5 linked regions of the Macaca fascicularis genome follow. The protein of the gene in region 1 interacts with the protein of each later gene in a biochemical or structural test. Links are inferred from orthologs where the notes say so. Each region holds a gene or a part of one and is shown in the gene's direction. Other genes may lie near its edges.

What was found.
Region 2: of the proteins of SETD7 (region 1) and RELA, one has a biochemical effect on the other in vitro, tested with the Homo sapiens proteins (3 studies listed by BioGRID and IntAct, with this or other methods). The link is inferred for Macaca fascicularis from reciprocal best matches to the Homo sapiens genes SETD7 and RELA.
Region 3: of the proteins of SETD7 (region 1) and E2F1, one has a biochemical effect on the other in vitro, tested with the Homo sapiens proteins (3 studies listed by BioGRID). The link is inferred for Macaca fascicularis from reciprocal best matches to the Homo sapiens genes SETD7 and E2F1.
Region 4: of the proteins of SETD7 (region 1) and H3-4, one has a biochemical effect on the other in vitro, tested with the Homo sapiens proteins (2 studies listed by BioGRID). The link is inferred for Macaca fascicularis from reciprocal best matches to the Homo sapiens genes SETD7 and H3-4.
Region 5: of the proteins of SETD7 (region 1) and DNMT1, one has a biochemical effect on the other in vitro, tested with the Homo sapiens proteins (2 studies listed by BioGRID and IntAct, with this or other methods). The link is inferred for Macaca fascicularis from reciprocal best matches to the Homo sapiens genes SETD7 and DNMT1.

What each region holds. Positions count from the first base shown.
Region 1 is NC_088379.1:144,703,670-144,707,686, reverse strand, and holds part of SETD7 (histone-lysine N-methyltransferase SETD7), read left to right. Parts: intron 1-3,491; coding exon 3,492-3,621; intron 3,622-4,017. UniProt on the Homo sapiens protein: Histone methyltransferase that specifically monomethylates 'Lys-4' of histone H3. H3 'Lys-4' methylation represents a specific tag for epigenetic transcriptional activation.
Region 2 is NC_088388.1:8,704,808-8,709,375, forward strand, and holds the start of RELA (transcription factor p65), read left to right. Parts: upstream 1-1,612; 5' UTR 1,613-1,698; coding exon 1,699-1,705; intron 1,706-2,178; exon of another isoform or gene 2,179-2,320; coding exon 2,321-2,347; intron 2,348-2,437; coding exon 2,438-2,589; intron 2,590-2,690; coding exon 2,691-2,839; intron 2,840-4,315; coding exon 4,316-4,407; intron 4,408-4,568. UniProt on the Homo sapiens protein: NF-kappa-B is a pleiotropic transcription factor present in almost all cell types and is the endpoint of a series of signal transduction events that are initiated by a vast array of stimuli related to many biological processes such as inflammation, immunity, differentiation, cell growth, tumorigenesis and apoptosis.
Region 3 is NC_088384.1:89,709,946-89,714,748, reverse strand, and holds the start of E2F1 (transcription factor E2F1), read left to right. Parts: upstream 1-1,847; 5' UTR 1,848-1,968; coding exon 1,969-2,229; intron 2,230-4,803. UniProt on the Homo sapiens protein: Transcription activator that binds DNA cooperatively with DP proteins through the E2 recognition site, 5'-TTTC[CG]CGC-3' found in the promoter region of a number of genes whose products are involved in cell cycle regulation or in DNA replication.
Region 4 is NC_088375.1:86,334,800-86,339,371, reverse strand, and holds H3-4 (histone H3.1t), read left to right. Parts: upstream 1-1,616; 5' UTR 1,617-2,768; coding exon 2,769-3,179; 3' UTR 3,180-4,159; downstream 4,160-4,572. UniProt on the Homo sapiens protein: Core component of nucleosome. Nucleosomes wrap and compact DNA into chromatin, limiting DNA accessibility to the cellular machineries which require DNA as a template.
Region 5 is NC_088393.1:10,739,965-10,744,580, reverse strand, and holds the start of DNMT1 (DNA (cytosine-5)-methyltransferase 1), read left to right. Parts: upstream 1-1,660; 5' UTR 1,661-1,684; coding exon 1,685-2,184; intron 2,185-4,616. UniProt on the Homo sapiens protein: Methylates CpG residues. Preferentially methylates hemimethylated DNA. Associates with DNA replication sites in S phase maintaining the methylation pattern in the newly synthesized strand, that is essential for epigenetic inheritance.

The sequences.
Region 1 (4,017 bases):
GTGGAAGTCTTGAATGATCACAACCCTTAATCTCTAGTTCCTTTAATTGATCACACCCTAAGGATGTAAAGAAAATAAAACAAACCAGGAAGGGGCTCCTGCTGTCATCTAATAGATTTCAGAACTGTCTCACAACCAGCAATCTAAAAGCCTTTAGAATGACAGGGAGAGGTCGCACGTCCAAGCACCTCCTTAATGTGCAAGGTCACCAGAGTAATGGCCATCATTTGGTAGCTCTCCCCTGTCCTTGTCTCTCCCAAGAGATTAAGATGGTGATAGGGCTCCTCTTCATTTGCCTGTTGAAAGGCATTGAGGCCAGGTGTGGTGGCTCTTGCCTGTAATCCCAGCACCCAAAGTGGGTGTATCACTTGAGCTCAGGAGTTTGAGACCAGCCTGGGCAACACAGTGAGACCCTGTCTCTATAAAAAAATTTTTTAATTAGCCATTTGCGAGGCTGAGGCGGGTGGATCACCTGAGGTCAGAAGTTCGAGACCAGCCTGGCCAACATAGTGAAACCTCGTCTCTACTAAAAATACAAAAAAATTAGCTGGGCATGGTGGCAGGTGCCTGTAATCCCAGCTACTAGGGAGGCTGAGGCAGGACAATTGCTAGCACCTGGGAGGCGGAGGTTGCAGTGAGCCAAGATGGCACCATTGCACTCCAGCCTGGGCAAAAAGAGTGAAACTCTGTCTCAAAAAAAAAAAAAAAAAAAAATTAGCCGGTTGTGGTGATGTCTACCTAAAGTCCCAGCTACATGGAAGGCTGAGGCAGAAGGATCACTTGAGCCTACAAGTTTGAGGTTACAGTAAGCAATGGTCTCATCACTGCACTCCAGCCTAAGTAACAGAGTGAGACCCTGTCTCTGAAAAATAAAGGAAAGAGGAAGAGAAAGAGGGAAGGAGGGAGTGAGGTAAGAAAGGAAGAAAAGGAGGGAAGGAGGGAGGGAGGCAAGGAAGAAGGAAGGAAGGAGGGAGGGAGGGAGGGAAGGAAGGAAGGAAGGAAGGAAGGAAGGAAGGAGGGAAGGAAGGAAGGATTCTTCATGGAGTGGAGTTGACATTTTTGTTGTCGTCTCAACTGGGATCAGTACTATCCTCCAAGGGCTTGTAGTATGTTATATGACACTTTCAATTTTCCCTAATATCTAAATTCCATTGCTGAGGGTGAACCTTCAGTGTTTTATTCAGAAATAGGACAGGGCTGAAGGAAGGTAGAAATTAATTATATTGGAAACTTTTTCCTTAGTGTTCAGATTTATGGTAATTCTCTCAATCTAAAGTGGAATAACAAATTTTATCAAACATAAGCTTTTAAAACTCTGAAATATGTGAACTGTTTTCTATGATGAAAGCATTTTCAACAAGTTAATAAATGCTCTAGTATGAGGCTAAACTGATTATTTGGATATTAATACCTAAATCAAAAGTAGGACACTGAATTTATATGCCTAAATTTAACTTGATTGCAACAACATTTCACTAAAAAAAAAGCTCTTAGCAATACACTGAGTGGCTTTTTTTAATGAAAAGAGAAAAGTAAATTTACTTTATTTCAATGAGAGAAATGGCATCAGATATTTAGAAAATAATTGTCCAAGTGATTTCATATGACTCAAATGTCATTGAATTTATGTCATGTACAGTTCGTTTTTGAGCGAGAGGAAAGCAATTATGGCCTAGTTCCATTCTGACCATTAATTTCCTGGTCCTTTCCTCTTTTGTGTTAAAAGGAAGGGATCCATACTGATTATGATTTGTTTAAGTAGATGTGTCTTATTGTAAGATGTTCTTGGTAACCCATTATATACAGAGTCAGATGTAGCAATAAAACACTGTATTTGTTTGCAGCTATTTTGTTTATGTAATTAATAATACAAATAAAAAGCATATTTATTCTTTTTGTTGTTGTTGTTGAGATGGAGTTTCGCTCTTGTTGCCGAGGCTGGAGTGCAGTGGCACAATCTTGGCTCACTGCAACCTCTGCTTCCTGGGTTCAAGCGATTATCCTGCCTCAGCCTCCTGAGTAGCTGGGATTACAGACGACTGCCACCATGCCTGGCTGATTTTTTGTATTTTTAGTAGAGATGGGGTTTCACTGTGTTGGCCAGGCTGGTCTCAAACTCCGGACCTCAGGTAATCCACCTGCCTCAGCCTCCCAAAGTGCTGGGATTATAGGCGTGAGCCACCACAGCCGGCCGCATATTTATTCTTTATGAGAGTGTGTACTTACCATCTTTTCCAAGGGCTAATATTGCTTTATCATGTTAGAATAAATTATTTTAGGAGACTAAATATTTCATTGTGGTAGTATGGTTTGTGTTTCCTTTTATGTCTGTGAGCCATCTGGAAGCTACATTTCAATGTTTAATGTCCCTGCATTAGACACAGTGTTTAATGTTTTCATGCCTTTTCTCTCCATGGCCCAGGTTGTTACCCCAAGAAAAAGCCAGTAGAATAACTACTGCCTTCATTTTCACCCACCTCTGCAAAATCAGCTCACCAGAATGATTGGGAAGACACCAATAAGGTGATTCCTGGGTTTTGTAAAACATGTAGATAGTAATAAAAAGTGTAAACATTGACTGTAAATGTCAATATTAAACTATACCAATCTTTGACCTAGGAAGAACCAGTGACTTAAAGGTCCATGTAATAACTTCTGCTGATAATCACAATCATTGCTTAAATGACCATGTGTATACTCTGGCTCCATTTAAAATACAAGCCCTCTGACACACAGTGGTGGAAGGTATATGATAAGGTTATTACTAAACATTCAAAGCTGAAGATTTTGTAAAGTAAAGCAGTAGGTTTAAGGTTAAGCTCAAGTTTAAGGTGAGAAGGACTCCAGGTTTCTGTGTTTGTACAATGAGCTGTATAACTCTTAGGGCAGTTTTAAAGATATGACTGTGTCCTTCGTGTGAATATAACAATAACAGTGAGATTTTCAGACTGGCTAGCAGTCCTCCACATCATATTATAGAATGATATATAAAATCATATTGCATACTTAATGTTCTAGAATTAGATAATTTATTCCAATGACTGCGTATGTGGCAATTGACTATAAAACAGTGGAATCTCAACCACACTTCAGTTAAGCATGAGAGATTGGAGGTATCAATTCCAAATATGAGGACTCTCTGGAGAGTACTTGGTAAATTGTGACATGCCCTGCAGAGGATATTACTGATAATGACTCTCAGTTCCAGGTAAAAAGCAAGCTTATTTAAAATTCATATTCTGGAATGTGTCTAAGTCTGTTCTGGACCTATCAGTTCACAAAGTGTACGTAACAATCAGTTTGGTACTGCTGGTGCCGATGAGGTGAGAAACCTTTGCACGCTGACTGTCCTTTCGTGCCAGGGAGGGGACCCTTTGGCAGCTGGAGGAGAGTTGGGCAGGGGACTTGTCTTGCAGCATGTGAATGCTTAGACGTCAGATGGGAGGAGCACTGACGATGTTAAAGTTTGCCTTGTGGTTCCCTTTCTCCAGGACACCTGGATGACGACGGATTACCACACGGGTTCTGCACAGTCACCTACTCCTCCACAGACAGATTTGAGGGGAACTTTGTTCATGGAGAAAAGAACGGACGGGGGAAGTTCTTCTTCTTTGATGGCAGGTAGCACTCACAGTTTTATTTTGTTCTTTGGGGGTACTGAATTATTTTATGTTAAGGAATAATACAAATGAAAGAATTCAAGTGGAAGTTTTTCTACAATTTATACAATGGGTAAAATTAACCCCTACCTGTAGGCACTGCTTTGGTGACTGGGGACGTCACCCTGTGGTTATGGGGAAGCCAACCTAAGGCTTAGCTCTTGTCATCACTGTCTCCCAGACTGTGCTTGGCCAGAAGATACCAGATTCAGGGGCCCCCATCTTGCATAAGTAGGTTACATGGTCACCCAATTCTTTGATGGATTTCACTTCATCATTCCAGCAGCGCATCTCCCTGAAGTCACACAAGTGGGGATCGTTTTTGTCAGTGGCCAGTTTGCACAGTTCCAGTAGAGTC
Region 2 (4,568 bases), on another chromosome or scaffold:
CAACAAGGTTAAACCACTTCTCTACAAAAAAATACAAAAACTTAGCCAGGCATGGTGGTGTGCTCCCATAGTCCCAGCTATGCAGGAGGCTGAAGTGGGAGGATTGCTTGATCCTAGGTGGTAGAGGCTGCAGTGAGCCAAGACTGTGCCACTACACTCCAGCCTGGGCGACAGAGCGCGAGCCTGTCTCAAAAAATAAATACATACAATACAATACAATACAATGCAGAATTCTGCACGGTGGTGGTCCCTTAAGTTTTGCAATGGGTACACGGGTGTTTATGGTATTAATTTAAAAGTTATAAATATACAAGAATTTTAAGAAGAGGATCCATGCAAGGTTTAATGATAATTGTATGTCATCCATTCGCTCAACTGAAGTCGGCCTTCCCCGCCCCCTGCCAAAAGTAAACACTTTTCTAATCAGGGCCAGCCACTGGAGAAACTGAAATGAGTGGGCGGGGTGCTAACTCTATTTTCACTTTTCTCTTCCTGTTTCTTCAGAGCCTGGGAAACAAGTCAGAATTTCCAATCTTTTCCAATTCCCACATGATTTCCTAATTCAAGACGAATTCAGAGAAAATAAGTCTTTCTCCATCTGGAGAAGACTCCGCCCCCTGGAGCATCCTCCTTCGGGGATGAGGCCTGAGGTGGGGCTGCGCCAGCCCCAGCCCCCACAAGGACGCGCCTTGGGCTTGGTCTTGGGGGAGCTACCCGCACTGTGGGGTCACATGACAGAATTAGTGGTCAGCCCTAGCTGGAGGTCCAGGGCAAACACAGGCGGGGGCAGTGGGGTTGGGGGTTGTGGCCCTGCTGATTCGAGTGTCCCCTGTGGGTTCCGGACCTTCTGAGATACAAGCGCCAGGCTTCAGAGACGAAGCTCCGGGGTTTACCCCTGGGGACCCCCTGCTCCTGCAGCCGCTGAGGGCCGGCAGTTTGGCTGCATAGTAAGCTGGCGCTTTAGCTGGAGAGGGACGAGCTCTCGGCCAGCTCGCCAGCGGGAGGGCCTCAAGTTGTCCCATCCGGGCTGCAGGCTCCGCAAAGCTCCCTGATGCACTGTCAGAGGGGGAGGTCCGGCCGCTCCCCTTCCCCTACAGCCGCATCTAGAGTGGGGTAGGTTGGACATTTTAACGTGCTTCTGAGACAGTCACCACCGAAAGGCACCTTTAGCGATGAGGAAACCGGCGTGGAGTTCAACCACCCGGCCTCTGCGGAGCAGAAGGCCCGACTGGGCCTTTCCCTGCGCGGGGCGGGCGGCCGCAGCCCCGTAGCCCGGGCTTTGCTCCAGACCCGGCCCAGAGTGACATCACCAAACTCCGCCGATCGGTGGGAGGGGGCCCTGAAATCCCCTAAAAACAAAGTGAGTAATCGGCGGACCCGCCCTCCAGGCGGGGCCGGGACCCGGGAGCTAGCCGAACCACCGGGCACACCAGCCTCTTCGTCCCCGGCGACGCGCGCACTTGGCCCCGGCCCCCGGCAGCGGCTGTGCGCGCGGCCTCTTCGTCCTCCGCGCGGCGCGCACTTGCTCCCGGCCCCTTCGCCGGGCGGCGGCGGGGCAGCGCGCAGGCGCGGCCGGATTCCGGGCAGTGACGCGACGGCGGGCGCGCGCGGCGCATTTCCGCCTCTGGCGAATGGCTCGGCTGTAGTGCACGCCGCGGGCCCAGCTGCGACCCCGGCCCCGCCCCCGGGACCCCGGCCATGGACGGTGAGGTCGCCCTCTGACCCCGCGGGGTGGCCGCGCCGGGACCGCCCCGGCTGTGGCGGGAGGCCCCGCGCCGCTTTCCGCCCCTTCCTGCGCCGACTGGCGCTGCGCAGGGAGCGGTCGGCCTGCCGGATGGTGGCGCGGGGCGGGGCAGGCGGGGAGGGGTCTGACTCAGTTTCCCCTCTGGGTGGAGGGGGGCCCTTGACTCAGCATCCTCCCTGGGTGGGGGAGCAGAGGGAGCCTTGACTCAGTTTCCCTCCACACCGTCCATGGGGGCAGCTCTGGCTTCGTTTCCCTATTAGGGGAGAACGCATCTGATTCAGTTTCCTCTCTGGATGGAGGTGGGGCGTGCCCTCCCTCAGTTTTCCTTATGAAAGTACAACAGGCCCTGATTCGGCTTCCCTCGGGAGAAGGATTCCTTACCCCGTTTTCCCTCAAGAAGCAGGTGTTTCTGGTTCCTTTCCTCCACTCCTTAGTTTCACCGCAGGTTCTAGGAAGCAGGTCCTTACTCAGTTCCCCTGGGAGGGAGCCTGGCTTCTCTTCTCTGTGGAGAGCAGATACTCCCTTGTGAGGATGGGCAGTGGGTGTGTGCTGACCCTGATCTCCCTCCCCTTTCAGAACTGTTCCCCCTCATCTTCCCGGCAGGTAAGTGGCCCCCGCAGCGGTCCGGGAGGTGTTCCCTGGGGTAGGGCAGCGGGGGCAGCTGTCTAATGGGCCTGCGGTGTCCCCTGGCAGAGCCAGCCCAGGCCTCTGGCCCTTATGTGGAGATCATTGAGCAGCCCAAGCAGCGGGGCATGCGCTTCCGCTACAAGTGCGAGGGGCGCTCCGCGGGCAGCATCCCAGGCGAGAGGAGCACAGATACCACCAAGACCCACCCCACCATCAAGGTCAGCACTGCACCAGGGTGTGCGGGGAAGGGACTGTGGAACCCCAGCCCTCTGTGTCTGGGAGTCAGGTTTGGATGTCTGGGCCTCTGTACTTTGGACAGATCAATGGCTACACAGGACCAGGGACAGTACGCATCTCCCTAGTCACCAAGGACCCTCCTCACCGGCCTCACCCCCACGAGCTTGTAGGAAAGGACTGCCGGGATGGCTTCTATGAGGCTGAGCTCTGCCCGGACCGCTGCATCCACAGGTGAGCTCCCTGCAGGCTAGGAGGCCCAGCATGAGGGAACAGGAGGCGGGCTATGAAGTAGCCGCTACAGTGTTACTCCTTTCTGGACACAGGGCAGAGTTGCTTACTTCTTGCTCTGACTCAGCTCTGCAAGTAAACTCTCTTTGTCTTGAAATGATCTATTTGTACCTCTACTCTAGCACAGATAAGAGCTCCAAGGGATATGGATGGGTCCCTAATCACTTCTGAATCCCTGACCCCTGTAGCTGGAAGGACAAGTCCCTTGGAGTCATGTCTCTTGTTTGAGAAAGAAAACCACTGAACCAACACTCTCCCCTGGAGGTGACATTGCAGTTGACAGAAACAGGCCTTAAAAAAATATACAGGCCAGGCATAGTGGCTCATGCTTATAATTCTAGCACTTCCGGAGGCCAAGGCAGGAAGATCTCTTGAGCCTGGGAGTTCAAGACTAACCAAGGCAACATAGTGAGACCCTATCTCTACAAAAAAATAAGAAATTAGCTGGGTATGGTGACTTGTGCCTATAGTCCCAGCTACTTGGGAGGCTGATGTGGGAGGATCACCTGAGCCCAGGAGGTCACCGCTATGGCAAGCTATGATTACACCACGACACTTGGGTAGCAGAGCGACACCTTGTCGTGTTTTTTTTTTTTTTTTTGAGACGGAGTCTTGCTCTGTCCCCAGGCTGGAGTGCAGTGGCGCAATCTCAGCTCCCTGCAACCTCTATCTGCCGGGTTTAGACCACTGTCCTGCCTCAGCTTCCCAAGTAGCTGGGACTACAGGTGCCCGCCACCACGCCCAGCTAATTTTTTTGCGTTTTTTTTTTTAGTAGAGAAGGGGTTTCACCATGTTAGTCAGGATGTTCTCAATCTCCTGACCTCATGATCTGCCTGTCTCAGCCTCCCAAAGTGCTGGGATTACAGGTGTGAGCCACCGCACCCGGCCCAACACCCTGTCTCTTAAAAATAAATAAATACACAGATAAATAAACAAGGTGCTGTCAGAGTAACAATTTCAGTCCTGAAAATAAAACAAAGTCATAGGATAGAAGGATAACCTGGGGTGGGGGAGTTACGGGAGCTGGTGTGATGACTTTAGATTGGAAGGTCAGGGAAGGCCTCCCTCCTTGAATGGTGAGAAGGAGGAGAGAAGTAGGAAAAGAACATTCCAAGCCGACCAAACAAGTGCAGAGGCCTTGAGGTGGGAATGAGTGTCCTGTGTTTAGAGAATGGAAAAGAAGCGCCTGTGGTTGTAAGCAGGGAGCCCACGGGGAGGCTGGCAGGGGCGGGGGCACGGAGGTGCTTGTCAGCTGAGGGAAGGGACAGGGTTCATTGCAGCACAGTAGGAAGCCACTGGAGGGGGTCAAGCATGGAGCGATGGTCTGGGGGTGGGTGGGGGAGGAAGGAGCAGACTGGGCAAGGCAGGAAGGTCCGGGCTGTGTGAGAGACAGTGGGACAGATGGCTGGGGGTGCTCAGTTTCCAGAACCTGGGAATCCAGTGTGTGAAGAAGCGGGACCTGGAGCAGGCTATCACTCAGCGCATCCAGACGAACAACAATCCCTTCCAAGGTGAGGGCTACCCTGCCTGCCGCCCCCGCACCCTCTGCCACCCTCCCTGGCCCGCCTTTCCTGCATCTCCCTCATTGGCCAGTACACGGTAAAGATGGACTCTTGGTGCCCATTCGGTACTCTCCCACTTTGCCATTGGGAAACTGAGGCCCAGGAGGGGA
Region 3 (4,803 bases), on another chromosome or scaffold:
TCGAGAGGGCTTTACACAAATGAATGTTAGTTTTACTGGGCCCCTGTGGGAAGGTGCAGGGAAAGGACATTCTTTCCATCTGTAATGGGAATGTGCCGGTTTCTCCTGCCCTCTGCCAGTGCCCAGGTTGGTTGTTTAGAATGGGACCTAGCCCTCAGCTTCTTTATGGAGTGGGGGCGGGAGGATCTCTTGAGCCCAGGGGTTTGAGACTAGCCTGCGCAGCATAGTGAGACCTCCTCTATATAAAATAAGTAGGAAAAAAAATTAAGATACTGGCTTTTCTAATTCCCTAAGTGTCGGGGAAAAAAAAGAAAGAAAGAAAGAAATAAAAGAAAGAAAGAGAAAAACATCACCTGGAATGGCGACACGACATTGTTAAAATGCAGATTCCTGGGCACCTAGAGATTTCAAATTGGCAAGGCCAGGGTGGGCCCAAAATTAGCAAGTGACCACGTGGTTCTGAAGCCAGTGGCCTAAGGACCACCCTTGCAGAACCATAGTCTCCTTGTCACAGTCTAAGCAGCCTCTGGCTTAGCGTCTGTTTCTTTCATAACCTTTCTCAGCGCCTGCTCTCGGTCAGACCAGTGATGGGAGGAGTCGCTACTGAGCTCCTAGATTGGTAGGGGAGGCAGATGGAGAAAAGGAGTGTGTGGTCAGCATTGGAACAGAGGCAGCAGTGGGCAATAGAGGAAGCGAGTAAATCCTTGGGAGGGCTCCCCAGAAGTGATGTGTTTTGTTTTTGCGACAGGATCTCGCTCTGTCACCCAAGCTGGAGTGCAGTAGCATGATCATAGCTCACTGCAGACTCGACTTCTCGGGCTCAAGCAATCCTCCCAGCTCAGCCTCCCAAGTAGCTGGGACTACAGGCACGCGCCACCATGCCTGGCTAATTTTTGTATTTTTTGTAGAGACGGGTTTTCACCATGTTGCTCAGGCTGGTCTCAAACTCCTGGACTCAAGCGATCCACCCCGCCCTCTGATTACAGGGATTCCAGGCGTGAACCACCGCGCCCAGACGACGCTTCATGTTATTGTAAACGTTTGTTACCTTTCTGTTCCCGTCTACTAGACTGTGAGCTCCTCAGGGCCACGAGTTAAGGATGGGGCAGATTTAAGGATGAGGCACAGAGCAGGCTCTTCAAACGTTTGTTGAATGAGTGAGGGAATGAATGAGTTCAGGCCGACGCTTTACGTTGGCTGTTGGAGATTTTGGCTAAAATGGGACTTGCAGGAAAGCTTGACGTCCCCCCGCCATTTCTAGCCACCGCTCTTCAGCTTGGGCTCTGGGTGAGCGGGATAGGGCCGGGTGCAGGATTAGGATAATGTCATGGGTGAGGCAAGTTGAGGATGGAAGAGGTGGCTGATGGCTGGGCTGTGGAACTGATGATCCCGAAAAAAAAAGGGGGCAGTCTCTGGAAATCTAAGCTGAGGCTGTGGAAGGCTACAGGTTGAGGGTCACGTGCAGAACAGAGGCTCTGTTCTGAACCTGCACTATAGAAAGGGCAGTGGGATGCGGGAGCATCGGGGCGGGGCAGGGCGGGGCGGGGCAGGGCGGGGCCCGTGTTCCCGTGTCCCCACGCCTCCAACAGGGGACGCCCGGGCTGGGGGCGGGGAGTCAGACCGCGCCTGGCACCATCCGGACAAAGCCTGCGCGCGCCCCGCCCCGTCATTGGCCGTACCGCCCCGCGCCGCCGCCCCATCCCGCCCCTCGCCGCCGGGTCCGGCGCGCTAAAGCCAATAGGAGCCGCCGCCGTCGTTCTCGTCACGGCCCGGGCAGCCAATTGTGGCGGCGCTCGGCGGCTCGTGGCTCTTTCGCGGCAAAAAGGATTTGGCGCGTAAAAGTGGCCGGGACTTTGCAGGCAGCGGCGGCCGGGGGCGGAGCGGGATCGAGCCCTCGCCGGGGCCTGCCGCCATGGGCCCGCGCCGCCGCCGCCGCCTGTCACCTGGGCCGCGCGGGCCGTGAGCGTCATGGCCTTGGCCGGGGCCCCTGCGGGCGGCCCATGCGCGCCGGCGCTGGAGGCCCTGCTCGGGGCCGGCGCGCTGCGGCTGCTCGACTCCTCGCAGATCGTCATCATCTCTGCCGCGCAGGACGCCAGCGCCCCGCCGGCTCCCACCGGCCCCGCGGCGCCAGCCGCCGGCCCCTGCGACCCTGACCTGCTGCTCTTCGCCACACCGCAGGCGCCCCGGCCCACACCCAGTGCGCCGCGCCCCGCGCTCGGCCGCCCGCCGGTACGGACCCCAGGGACGACGCGCCGACAGCGCCTCCTGTGCCCCCCGCGCAGACCCGGGAGGGCGCCGTGTTTGGCCTGGAGGCGGCAGGGGGCGGGGGAGGGGTTGACTGAGGCGCCCAGGCTGGGCGGTGCAGAGCCGGGGTTGGGCCTGCGGGCCCCGCCCTGGGGTGCGGGGTGACCTCGGGCCGGTCCCTGTTTGCTCCTCTGTGCTCTGGGCCTCAGCTTCCTCACTGGAGGCTCCCCAGCGTCAGACTCAGTGATAATAATAACCCACGTGTATTCAACTGGCGTTTACTGCATGCCAGGCCTTCGGCCGACTTCAAGTCAGCTAAAACTCACAACCCCGCTGTGAGCTGTGTTGTCACTGTGCCCATCTGACGGAGGAAGAACTGAGGCCCAGAGAGGGGAAGTGACTTGCCCCTGGTCATACGGCTGCAGGTGGTGGGGCTGGGATTTGAACTGAGGCCTGCTGGCTTCAGCTCAGAATTTGCATCTCGGTAGTGAGCACAGCTGCTAGGGGAAGTGAAGGCGGGGCGGAGGAAGGTCCTGGGGCCTAACCGTTGGTGAGCCATTGAGGAGACCCTCCTTCTGCCTCGATGCTGACTGCCAGGTGCAGGCCTGGCTGGCCAGGCCTCTGGGGACAGCCCTCCTGGCTGGGAGGCCTTCTCTGCAGGGGCGGGGCAGCTGGACCAGCTGCAGGTCCCCTCCCTCTGCCTGTCCTTCCATCTGCCACCCTCCACCCTCCCAGGCCCTGGTTGCCATGGAACCTCATTAATCAGGCAGGCCGACCCCTGAGTCTCTGTAGAAGGACTAGGTGGGCTGGGCCTCTGGGAGCTGGAGAGGCCCCCAGTGCCAGGAGAGAAAATGTCCCAGGGAGATCCTTTAATAAAGTCCTCCCTGATCGCTGAGCTCAAGACCAGTTCAGACTGGGGGGCCCAGAAGAGGCGGCTGAATTACAGTGGGAGAAGGGATTGGAGGTGTAGAGCTGGGACCTGTGGGGCGCAGGGCAGGGTGTGGAGACCAGTTTGACTGGCGCAGCCTATGGGTGAAGGTGGGGCTCTGGTGTGCAGGCGGGGCCTGGCCAGGCAGGATGGGGTCTCAGCAGGGAGCTTGAAGCAAGTGGGAGGGGTGAGGCAGGACTCAGGACAAGGAGGTAGAAGCTGCCTAACTGCTGATGGGGGTGTGGGTGGCAGCTGGTCCCTGAGGCATCCTGAGGAGGCTCCCCCAACCCCCTTGGCCCCATGCCCAATGCTGCCTTCCGGAATCACCACAATGCTAATAATAATAACAATAGCAGCCACCATTGTTTTGAGGATGTCTTGTGTGCCAGGCTCTGTGCCAAGCACTTTACCTAATTAACTCATTTAACCCTATCAGCAGCAGTCCCTTTTTACAGATTGGGAAGCTGAGGCCTAGAGATGTTAGAATCTTCCCATGTCATTCTGCTCTTGAGTGGGGAGACCAGTCTGCATTTTCTGTGAGGTTGACCTCTGGGACGCCTTGCTTCCTAGAGATGCTGATAAAGGTTGGAGAAAGGGCAGGAAGGGCTTTTAGGGGCCCTTCCTCTTAATGAGTGGGTGGGAGGGGTTTGTACCAGGGGTGGACCAGGTGGCCTGTCTCCTGTACTCCAGGGACCTGTCCCTGTGGGTACCGCTTGGGACCTGGGCAAGCATCTTCCATTCAGTTGTGTGACAAGCATATAGCAGGCTCAGGTCTGCAGAAACCTAACAGAACCCGAGGGTCTTGTCCTCAAGTAACTGAACAGGATTATGGGTTCTAGGATCAAAGGGAGGGACAGGGGCAAAGAAAAATGCCCTCCGCGCCACCTGTCAGGGGCAGGCTCATTGGCTTGGGCACTGCATTCATTCAACGGTTGTTGAATTAGTGAATGCCCAGGAGGCACTAGGCACAGAGACAAGGAGCCCCGGCTCCCAGAATACGTAAGGGCCAGGAGGCTAGCACCATTCTGGAGCTGAAGTCCAGAAAGTCCACAGGTTCGGCTTTTGGCCTCTCTGCACTGGCATTTGTCTGGGGCAGTCCTTGAAATAAGCTACAGGCTTAGCTTCTATACCAGCAGGCATTCGTTGAACACCTGTATATAACGCTCTGTGCGATTTGGCCATTCCTCTTGGCCCTGCCTGTCCACTTCCACAAACTCAAGTATTATAACTATAATACGTGTTTACTATGGAAAACTTAACTTTTTTTTTTTTTTTTTTCCGGAGACAGGGTCTCATTCTGTTACCTAGGCTGGAGTGAAGTGGCGTGATTGTGGCTCACTGCAACCTCCGCCTCCCAGGTTCAAGCTATTCTGTGCCTCAGCCTCCCAAGTAGCTGGGATTACAGGCGTGTACCACCACGCCCAGCTAATTTTTGTATTTTTAGTAGAGATAGGGTCTTGCCATGTTGCCCAGGCTGGTCTTGAATTCCTGAGTTCAAGCAATCTGACTGTCTCAGCCTCTCAAAGTGCTGGGATTATAGGTGTGAGTCACCATGCCCAGCTGAAAACTTAACTCTTTTTGTTTTTTGTTTTTTTGAGACGGAGACTCGCACTGTTGCCTAGGGCAGTGTC
Region 4 (4,572 bases), on another chromosome or scaffold:
CTGAGGGCCGCATCAGAAGCAGATGCTGGAGCCTTGCTTCTTATAGAGCCTGCAGAACCATAAGCTAAAAAATGTTTTGATAAATAACCCAGCCTCTGGTATTCCTTTACAGCAATGCAAAACAGACCAAGACAGTGGGCCTGTCATGCATCAACAAGGGGCGCTGTAGGGGAGGCAGAATTCTACCTCCCTTATCTTAGGGTCCAGGCTGGGCCCAAGAATTAGACTGACATTAGAGAGATGAGCAGGAGAAAAACATACAGTTATTTAATACAAATTTAATGTGACACAGGAGCCCTCATAAGGAAATGAAGATGCAAAGATGCAGTTAGGGTCACTTATATACAGAGGTGGACAAACACTAGTAAGTTGTGAGATTTGATAAGGCCACGGGGCTTGGGTGAGGATAGTCAATGGGGTGAAGAAATGACTAGGTCAAAATGCTTACACACTAGGTTGAACAAAGAGTAGTAACTGTGGCAACAACTAGGAAGATAAGGGTTAGTTTAATAAAGTTTGTTTGTATAGATTTCTCTTGGCTTCTGTCTTAGTCTGTTTTGTGTTGTTAAAGGAATACCTGAGACTGGATGATTTATTGGAAAAAAAAAAAAAAGGTATTGGCTTATGGTTTCCCAGGCTGTACAAGAAGCACGGTGGCTGGGTGCAGTGGCTCACACCTGTAATCCCAGCTACTCGGGAGGCTGAGGCAGGAGAGTTGCTTGAACTTCCCGGGAGGCGGACGTTGCAGTGGGCTGAGATCACACCACTGCACTCCAGCCTGGGCAACAGGGTGAGACTCAGGTCAAAAAAACAAAAAAAGCACGGTGGCCCAGCATGGTGGCTCAAGCCTGTAATCCTAGCACTTTGGGAGGCCAAAGTCGGGGGATCAGTTGAACTCAGGAATTCAAGACCAGCTTGGTCAACATAATGACAGCCCATCTCTCCAAAAAATTTAAAAATTAGCTGGATGTGGTCCCAGCTACTTGGGAGGCTGAGGTAGGAGGGGCCTGGGCAACAGAGCAAGACTGAAAAAAGAAGGAGAGGAGGGGAGGGGAGGGAAGAAGATAAAAAGAAAGGAAAGGAAGGAAGGAAGAAAGGGAGCGAAGAAGGGAGGGAGGGAGAGAGAAAGGAAGGGAGGGAGGGAGAATGGAAGGAAGCAAGTATAGGGCCCACCTCTGCTTCTGGTGAGGGCCTCTGGCTGCTTCTGCTTATGGTGGAAGGTGAAGGGGAACCCATGTGTGTGCAGAGGTCACAGGACTGCACAAGAGAGGAAGCCAGAAAGAGAGGGGAGGGGAGTGCCAGGCTCTTTTCAACAACCAGCTCTTCAGGGAACCAACAGAGTGAGAACTCACCCTAAAGGAGGGCAGGACTCTATTCAGAGGGTGACACCTCCAGGACCCACACACCTCCCACTGAGCCCCGGCTCCAACTTTAGGGATCAAATTTCAGCTTCAGAGTTGGAGGAGATTTGGAAGCTTCCACCTTCTGGTCCTTGATGATAAGAACGTTCCCTTCCTTTTACTATAAGAACATCTTTCATAGGGGAATTCTATTTCTTGCCTTTAAGAAACAACAAGAAACTCAGAATGATCTTCCTACACCTGCCTCTATTTTTTTTTTTTTTTAAGTGCCTTTATCTCAAAAGAGTTAATATGCCAGAAAGGCATATCTTTACCTTCTTCAGCATCCTAAGGCTCATCTGAGCCATACAGCAAAGGGAGTTCTTTGCAGGTCATAAAAAGTGGAAGATTCCTTTAACTCTGGTTGGATCCCAGAGCTGTATCACTGTGTAAAAGTGGAATGCCGGCTGGGCGCGGTGGCTCACGCCTGTAATCCCAGCATTTTGGGAGGCTGAGGCAGGTGGATCACGAGGTCAGGAGATCGAGATCATCCTGGCTAACATGGTGAAACCCTGTCTCTACTAAAAATACAAAACAAAATTAGCCGGGTGTGGTGGTGGGCGCCTGTAGTCCCAGCTATTTGGGAGGCTGAGGCAGGAGAATTGCCTGAACCCTGGAGGCGGAGCTTGCAGTGAGCCGGGATTGCGCCACTGCACTCCAGCCTGGGTAACAGAGCGAGACTCCGTCTCAAAAAAAAAAAAAAAAAGTGGAATGCCAGCTGGGCCTGGTGGCTCATGCCTGTAATCCCAGCACTTTGGGAGGCCGAGGCAGGTGGATCACCTGAGGTCAGGAGTTTGAGACCAGCCTGGCCAATATGGTGAAAACCCATCTCTTTGTGGTGGATACCTGTAATCCCTGTAATCCCAGTTACTTGGTAGGCTGAGGCAGAAGAATCGCTTGAACCTGGGAGGTAGAGGTTGCAGTGAGCAGAGATCGCGCCATTGCACTCCAGCCTGGGCAACAAGAGTTAAACTCCATCTCAAAAAATTTTTTAAAAATTAATTTTTAAAAAAAGTGGAATGCCACATGCTGGCTTTCGGAAGGCTCTTCCCACCCAAGTCATGAGGAAGGGAGAAGAGGATTGCTGAGGAGACACGAGGAAGCTTGTGCTGGAGAGAGATGATCTCCACCGCCGTGGCCTACCCGCATCAACCCTTCACAATGCTGGTGCTAGCTCTGGTGGCCACGACCAACAAGCACTAATATAAGGGAGAGGCGGCCGAGTGGCGTGCCCTGTGGACCAATCAGAGAGTAGGGGGCCATCACGCCACCTGAGGCCAGCCAATGAAAACGCGGCAAGCTCTATAAAAGCGGGCAATCAGCTGAGGTCTGGTCAGAGGACACGGCAGAGACAACAGTTTCAAATTCATGGCCCGAACCAAGCAGACTGCGCGCAAGTCGACGGGTGGCAAGGCGCCACGCAAGCAGCTGGCCACTAAGGTGGCTCGCAAGAGCGCACCCGCCACTGGCGGCGTGAAGAAGCCGCACCGCTACCGACCTGGCACAGTGGCGCTTCGCGAGATCCGCCGCTACCAGAAGTCCACTGAGCTGCTAATCCGCAAGCTGCCCTTCCAGCGGCTGGTGCGCGAGATCGCTCAGGACTTTAAGACCGACCTGCGCTTCCAGAGCTCGGCCGTGATGGCGCTGCAGGAGGCGTGCGAGTCTTACCTGGTTGGGCTGTTCGAGGACACCAACCTGTGTGCCATCCACGCCAAACGGGTCACCATCATGCCCAAGGACATCCAGCTGGCACGCCGTATCCGTGGGGAGCGGGCCTAGGAGGGCCATCTCGCCACCTGAGAGGTTGCGCAACGTTCACCCCAAAGGCTCTTTTAAGAGCCACCCACCTGGTCGGAAGAGTTGCTGTAGCAAGCCAGGCTCTTGGGTTTTGGGGGTTCCTTCCGCTGGCCGGTGCTGGCTTACCTAATTCTGATTAGGGTGGGAGGCTGGCGAATCCTGTGTTCACCCTGTCCAGTTAGGAGGCCAGCTACTCATGCGCGTTACCTCCCAGCCTGTCTCCAGTTACAAGTCCAGCTAGTCGTGTGTGGTGCTAACTTGGTCTATCCCTTTAGATAAGAATCATGGTTGGTCTGTTTGGGGACGGGGTGTTGAGGGTAGCGTAACTGGCCTATCTCCAGTTAGGTAAGCAACCCCAGCTAGTTGTGTCAACTCAGCCTATCTACAGTTAGGTTGGAAGGCTGGCTGGTCTTGTGTGTTCTCAGCTCAGCCTCTTTCAAACTGTTACAAGTCCTGCGTGTGTGTGTGTGTGTGTGTACACACAGCTTCTTTCCAGTGAGGTTACCAGTCCAGCTAGTCTCCTACCTAGACAGCCTGTTAAGGCCAGCAAGTAGTATGTGTTATCTTGGCCTATTTTCAGTTAGAAGTCCAGCTACTTCACCAGCGTGGCAGCTCAGGTCTGTAATCCCAGCACTTTGGGAGGCCAAGGCGGGTGGATCACCTGAGGTCAGGAGTTCCAGACCTGCCTGGCCAACATGGTGAAACCCCATCTCTACTAAAAAGACAAAAATTAGCCAGGTGTGGTGGCACATGCCCGTAATCCCAGCTACTTGGGAGGCTGAGGCAGGAGAACTGCTTGAACCCAGGAGACAGACGTTGCAGTGAGCCAAGATCATGCCACTGCACTCCAGCATGGGCAACAGAGCGAGACTCAGTCTCAAAACCAAAAAAAAAAAAAAAAAAAACAAAGTCCAGCTACTTGTGTGTGTTAACTCAGCCTACCTCCTGTTAATTTAGAAAGCTGGCTAGTTGTATATCTTGTTAACTTGGGCTATCTCCCATTAGGTTAGAAGGCTGGCTAGGGGTGTGTGTGTGTGTATGTGCGCACGTGCACGTGTGCCCATGTGCACACACATATGTAGCTGTGATGTTGGCCCATCTCCAGTTAGAAGTCCACGTCATTGTATGTGTTAACATACCCAATCTCCCATTCAGTTAAAAGGCTGGCTAGTCATGTATGTTGTTAATTCACCCTATCTTCTGTTAGGGTAGATGACTAGCTAGTTGCGTGTGAGAAGCGCAGCCAGGCATGTGCATTGTTAATTCAGCCTAAGTGAAATCAATACTGGGAAACCCCAGCCTAAAGTTCAAAGAGGGCACTCTGCCCTGGAAGTCAGCTTACTGAGCAGTCGCAGACAGGGGTGGCCCATGTGCC
Region 5 (4,616 bases), on another chromosome or scaffold:
AAGTGGATTGCTTGAGGTAAGGAGTTCCAGACTACCCTGGCCAACATGGTGAAACCCTGTCTCTCCCACTAAAAATACAGAAATTGGCCAGGCGTGGTGGAGTACGCCCGTAATCCCAGCCTACTAGGGAGGCTGAGGCATGAGAATCGCTTGAACCTGGCAGGCAGAGGTTGCAGTGAGCCAAGATCTCACCACTGCACTCCAGCCGGCGTGACAGAGTGAGACAAGGTCTTACCCCGTCGCCCAGGCAGGAGTCCAGCGGCCCAATCATAGCTCACTGCAGCCTATACTGCCAGGGCTCAAGCCATCCTCCCACCTCAGCCTCCTGAGTAGGTAGGATTACAGGTGTATGTCACCATGCCCAGCGAATCTTTGTATTTTTTGTAGAGATGGGGTATCCCTATGTTGCTCAGGCTGGTCTTGCACTCCTAACCTCAAGCGATCCTCCCACCTGGGCCTCTCAAAGCACTGGGATTACAGGCATGAGCCACTGCGCCTGGCATAGTGCTTCTTAATTTATTTTTACTTTTTATTTTTATTTTTTTGAGACACGGTCTTGCTCTGTCTCCCAGGCTGGAATGCAGTGGCGCAATCATGGCTCACTATAACCTCTGCCTCACTGGTTCAAGCGATCTTCCTGCCTCAACCTCTAGAGTAGTTATACTACAGGCACACGCCACTACGCCTAGCTAATTTTTGTTTTCCTTTTTTTCTTTTAAGAGATGTGGTTTCTCTTAAACCAGGAGGCGATCCTCCTGCCCTGGCCTTCCAAAGTACTGGGATGACAGGCATAAGCCACGTGGTGCTTAAAAAGGGGAACAAAAAACCCCACACACACTGGGTATAGAAGTGGCACGGGTCTCTATACACTGTGAGATTCTTGGTACTAGCTACAAATTCTGTGCATACTCAAGATTTTCTAGAGTAGGTGCAATTACCCCGTTTTACAGACGAGGACACAGAGGCTGAGTCCTAGTGACCCATCCAAGGTCGTACAGCCAGCAAATAGATGGAGGTTGAATTGGAACTGAGGACTTTACTCAAGGGCTCTCACAAGCCCTTGGGGACTTCTTGCTGCTTTATCCCCATCACACCTGAAAGAATGAATGAATGAATGCCTCGGGCACGGTGCCCACCTCCCAGCAAACCGTGGAGCTTGGACGAGCCCACTGCTCCGCGCGGGGGTGCGTGACCGCCTCGCGCATGCGTGGTCCCTGGGCATGGCCTGCTCCGTTCCATCCTTCTGCACAGGGTATCGCCTCTTTCCTTTTGGTACATCCGCTCCCCCCTCCCCGCGCCCGGACTGGGGTGGTAGACGCCGCCTCCGCTCATCGCCCCTCCCCATCGGTTTCCGCGCGAAAAGCCGGGGCGCCTGCGCTGCCGCCGTCGCGTCTGCTGCAGCCTCCGAGATGCCGGCGCGTACCGCCCCAGCCCGGGTGCCCACACTGGCCGTCCCGGCCATCTCACTGCCCGACGATGTCCGCAGGCGGTAGGTACCGTGGGGGGAACGTGGACTCGGGGGGCCAGGCAGGGCGCTGGGTGGGGGGTCGCTTCCCCTCGGGGTGGCCAGTGGCCGCTGCTGACAGACGGGCGCGCATGCGTGGGGTGGTGCGGCGCGCAGCGGCAGTTGGCGCGGGCAGGGTGGCACTTCCGGTCGCGCGTGCCCGGGCTGTTTGGCGCCAAAATGGGCTGTGGATTCCCCCGTAGCTCCCTGGTGGCTAGAAACTGGGCGGGGTGGGGGTTCTCTTTTGATCCCCAAATACAGCAAGCTTTGGGTTCGTCTCCGGGGTCCCCTTCTCCAAGCAGCGGTGGGCCGGGCTCCTGCCTCCAGCTTGGTAGCACAGGAAGTGGGCAGCCCGCGGCCAACGGACACCCCTCGGGCACCGGCACTTCGGCCTCCACTTCCGGTGTCCGGCCCGGTCCCCGGTGGTGCTTCTCTGGTGGGGGGTCCCTCAGTGCCTTTCCCCCAAAGCTGTGCATCCCGATGGCGGCCTCCAGAGACGGACGTCACCGGTCGGGGCCCGGGCTGGGCTGGCTCATGTTTGAGAGCCCAGCCTTCCGTAGGGGGAACTCATTCTGTCACTTGGGACTGTGTGTTCCTTGCTCCTTGGGAAAGTCTGTGTTTTGGCAGGAACTTGAACCGTGCAATGCCGCGCAGGGCCCGGGAAGCGTGAAGGCTCCATGGTTGGTCTTTTCCTGTAAATCTGTGCCTGTGAGCCGTGGGCATCAGGGAAGTCTTGCTATTGAGAACTGGCTACACTTTCGTGTGTGTTTGCGTGTGTTCGTGGGTGTGTTCTTTAGTGTGTGTGTCTAATGTTGGAGGCCCTGGCTTTAGCAATTCATGCCTCTGTCCGACTTCCGTGCACAGGATCAGTGGGAGCAGTGGTCCCAGCCCCTTGTCCATGAACGCCATCTATTCATTCCTAACAACTTGTTCAAGGGAGGTGTGCATGAGGCATAGGAACCCTCACCAGGCCTGGACACTTCCAGCTGAATCTGTGAAAGCACTCTGCCATTTTTCTATTTCCTTGGGCTTGTTAACTGGCCTGGTTGGGCCTTTGGGGAGGGATGGATATTTGGTTCGACCCCCTACTTTTTTTTTGAAGGCTGGGTGCTGTGGCTTACGCCTGTAATCCCAGCAATTTGGGAGGCAGTGGCGGATGAATCTCTTGAACCAGGGGTTTGAGACCAGCCTGGGCAACATGGCAAAACCCCATCTCTACTAAAAATACAAAAATTAGCCAGGAGTAGTGCCATGTACCTGGAGTCCCAGCTACTCAAGAGACTAAGGTGGGAGTATCACTTGAGCCCCAGAGATTGAGGCTGTATATAGTGAGCCGAGATCGTGGTACTGCACTCCAGCCTGGGTGACAGAGTGAGACCCTGTCTCAAAACAAACAAACAAACAAAAACAACAACAACAACAATTTTATTTTTAGAGATGAGTCTCACTCTGTTGTCCAGGCTGGAGTGCCCTGGCACAATTATAACACACTGTAGCCTTGAACTGCTGGGCTCAAGGGATCCTCAGCCTCCTGAGTAGCTGGGACCATAGGCGACCACCACCATGCCCAACTGACTTTTAGTTTTTTCTGTATACATGAGGTTTCACCATATTGCCCAGGTTGGTCTTAAACCCCTGCCCTTAAGCAGTCCTCCTGCCTCTGTGTCCCAAAGGTTAGGGTTACAGGTATGAGCCACCATGCCTTAACTACAACTTTTTTATTTTGAGATGGAGTCTTGCTCTGTCACCCAGGCTGGAATGCAGTGGCGTGATCTCAGCTCATTGCAACCTCCACTTCCGGGGTTCAAGTGATTCTCCTGCCTCAGCCTCCTGAGTAGCTGGGATTACAGGTGCCCACCACCATGCCTGGCTAATTTTTGTGTTTTCAGTAGAGTTGGGGTTTCTCCATGTTGGCCAGGCTGGTCTCGAACTCCTGACCTCAAGTGATCCACCCGCCTCAGCCTCCCAAAGTGCTGGGATTATAGTCAAACCACTTCTTAACCAGTTAGTGGGTATATACCTTCTTGAATCATCTGTACCAGTATCCTCCCAAGATAAAACTTGATTTAAAATGGAATGGAAGTGAAGTTACAAAAGTACCTGGCTTCATGATGTTAGACCCAATTCAGAGAAGTTTGGGCCCGGCCTTCCTTTTTTATTCCTTTTTTTAATTTTGTAGAGACGGAGTCTTGCCATGTTGCTCAGGCTGGTCTTCAATTCCTGGCCTCAAGCGATCCTCCTGCCTCAGCTTCCCAAAGTGTTGGGATTACAGGTGTGAGCCACTGTACCTGGCCTGCCCAGCCTTCTTGAAAACATGGCCTCCACTGGCTCGATGATCTTAAACAAGCATATGCCACCTCTATATCCATAGTCTAGGAATAATGACATGTGTTTTCAGGTGGTATTGGGTTAAATGAGAATATGCATGGCACATAAAGGTTCATATGCTAGTGGCTAACTTAGCTTGTTTTTTAAGTTTTTTCTTTTAAGACACGGGATCTCACTGTGTCACCCAGGCTGGAATGCAGTGGCATAGTCATGGCTTACTGCAGCCTCAAACCCATGAGCTCAAGCAGTCCTCTTGCCTTAGCCTCCTGAGTAGCTGGCACATGCCACCATGCCCAGCTAATCCTTAAAAAAAATTTTTAGAAGGCCGGGCTCAGTGGCTCACGCCTGTAATCCCCGCACTTTGGGAGGTCAAGATGGGTGGATCACCTGAGGTCAGGAGTTTGAGACTAGCCTGGCCAACGTGGTGAATCCCCATCTCTACTAAAAAAAAAAATTAGCCAGGTATGGTGGTGGGCACCTGTAAACCCAGCTACTCAGGAGGCTGAGGCAGGATAATCGCTTGAACCCAGGAGGCTTGAACGGAGGAGGTGGAGGTTGCAGCGAGCCGAGATTGCGCCATTGCACTCCAGCCTGGGCAACAGGAGCAAAACTCTGTCTCAAAAAAAAAAAAAAATTTTTTTTTTTAGAGATGAGGGTCTTGCTTTGTTGCCCAGGCTGGTCTTGAACTCCTGGGCTCAAGCAGTCCTCTGCTTTGGCCTCCCAAAGGGCTGATATTACAGGCGTGAGCCACTGGGCCCGGCCATTATTCCTCAAGAGTTCTTAA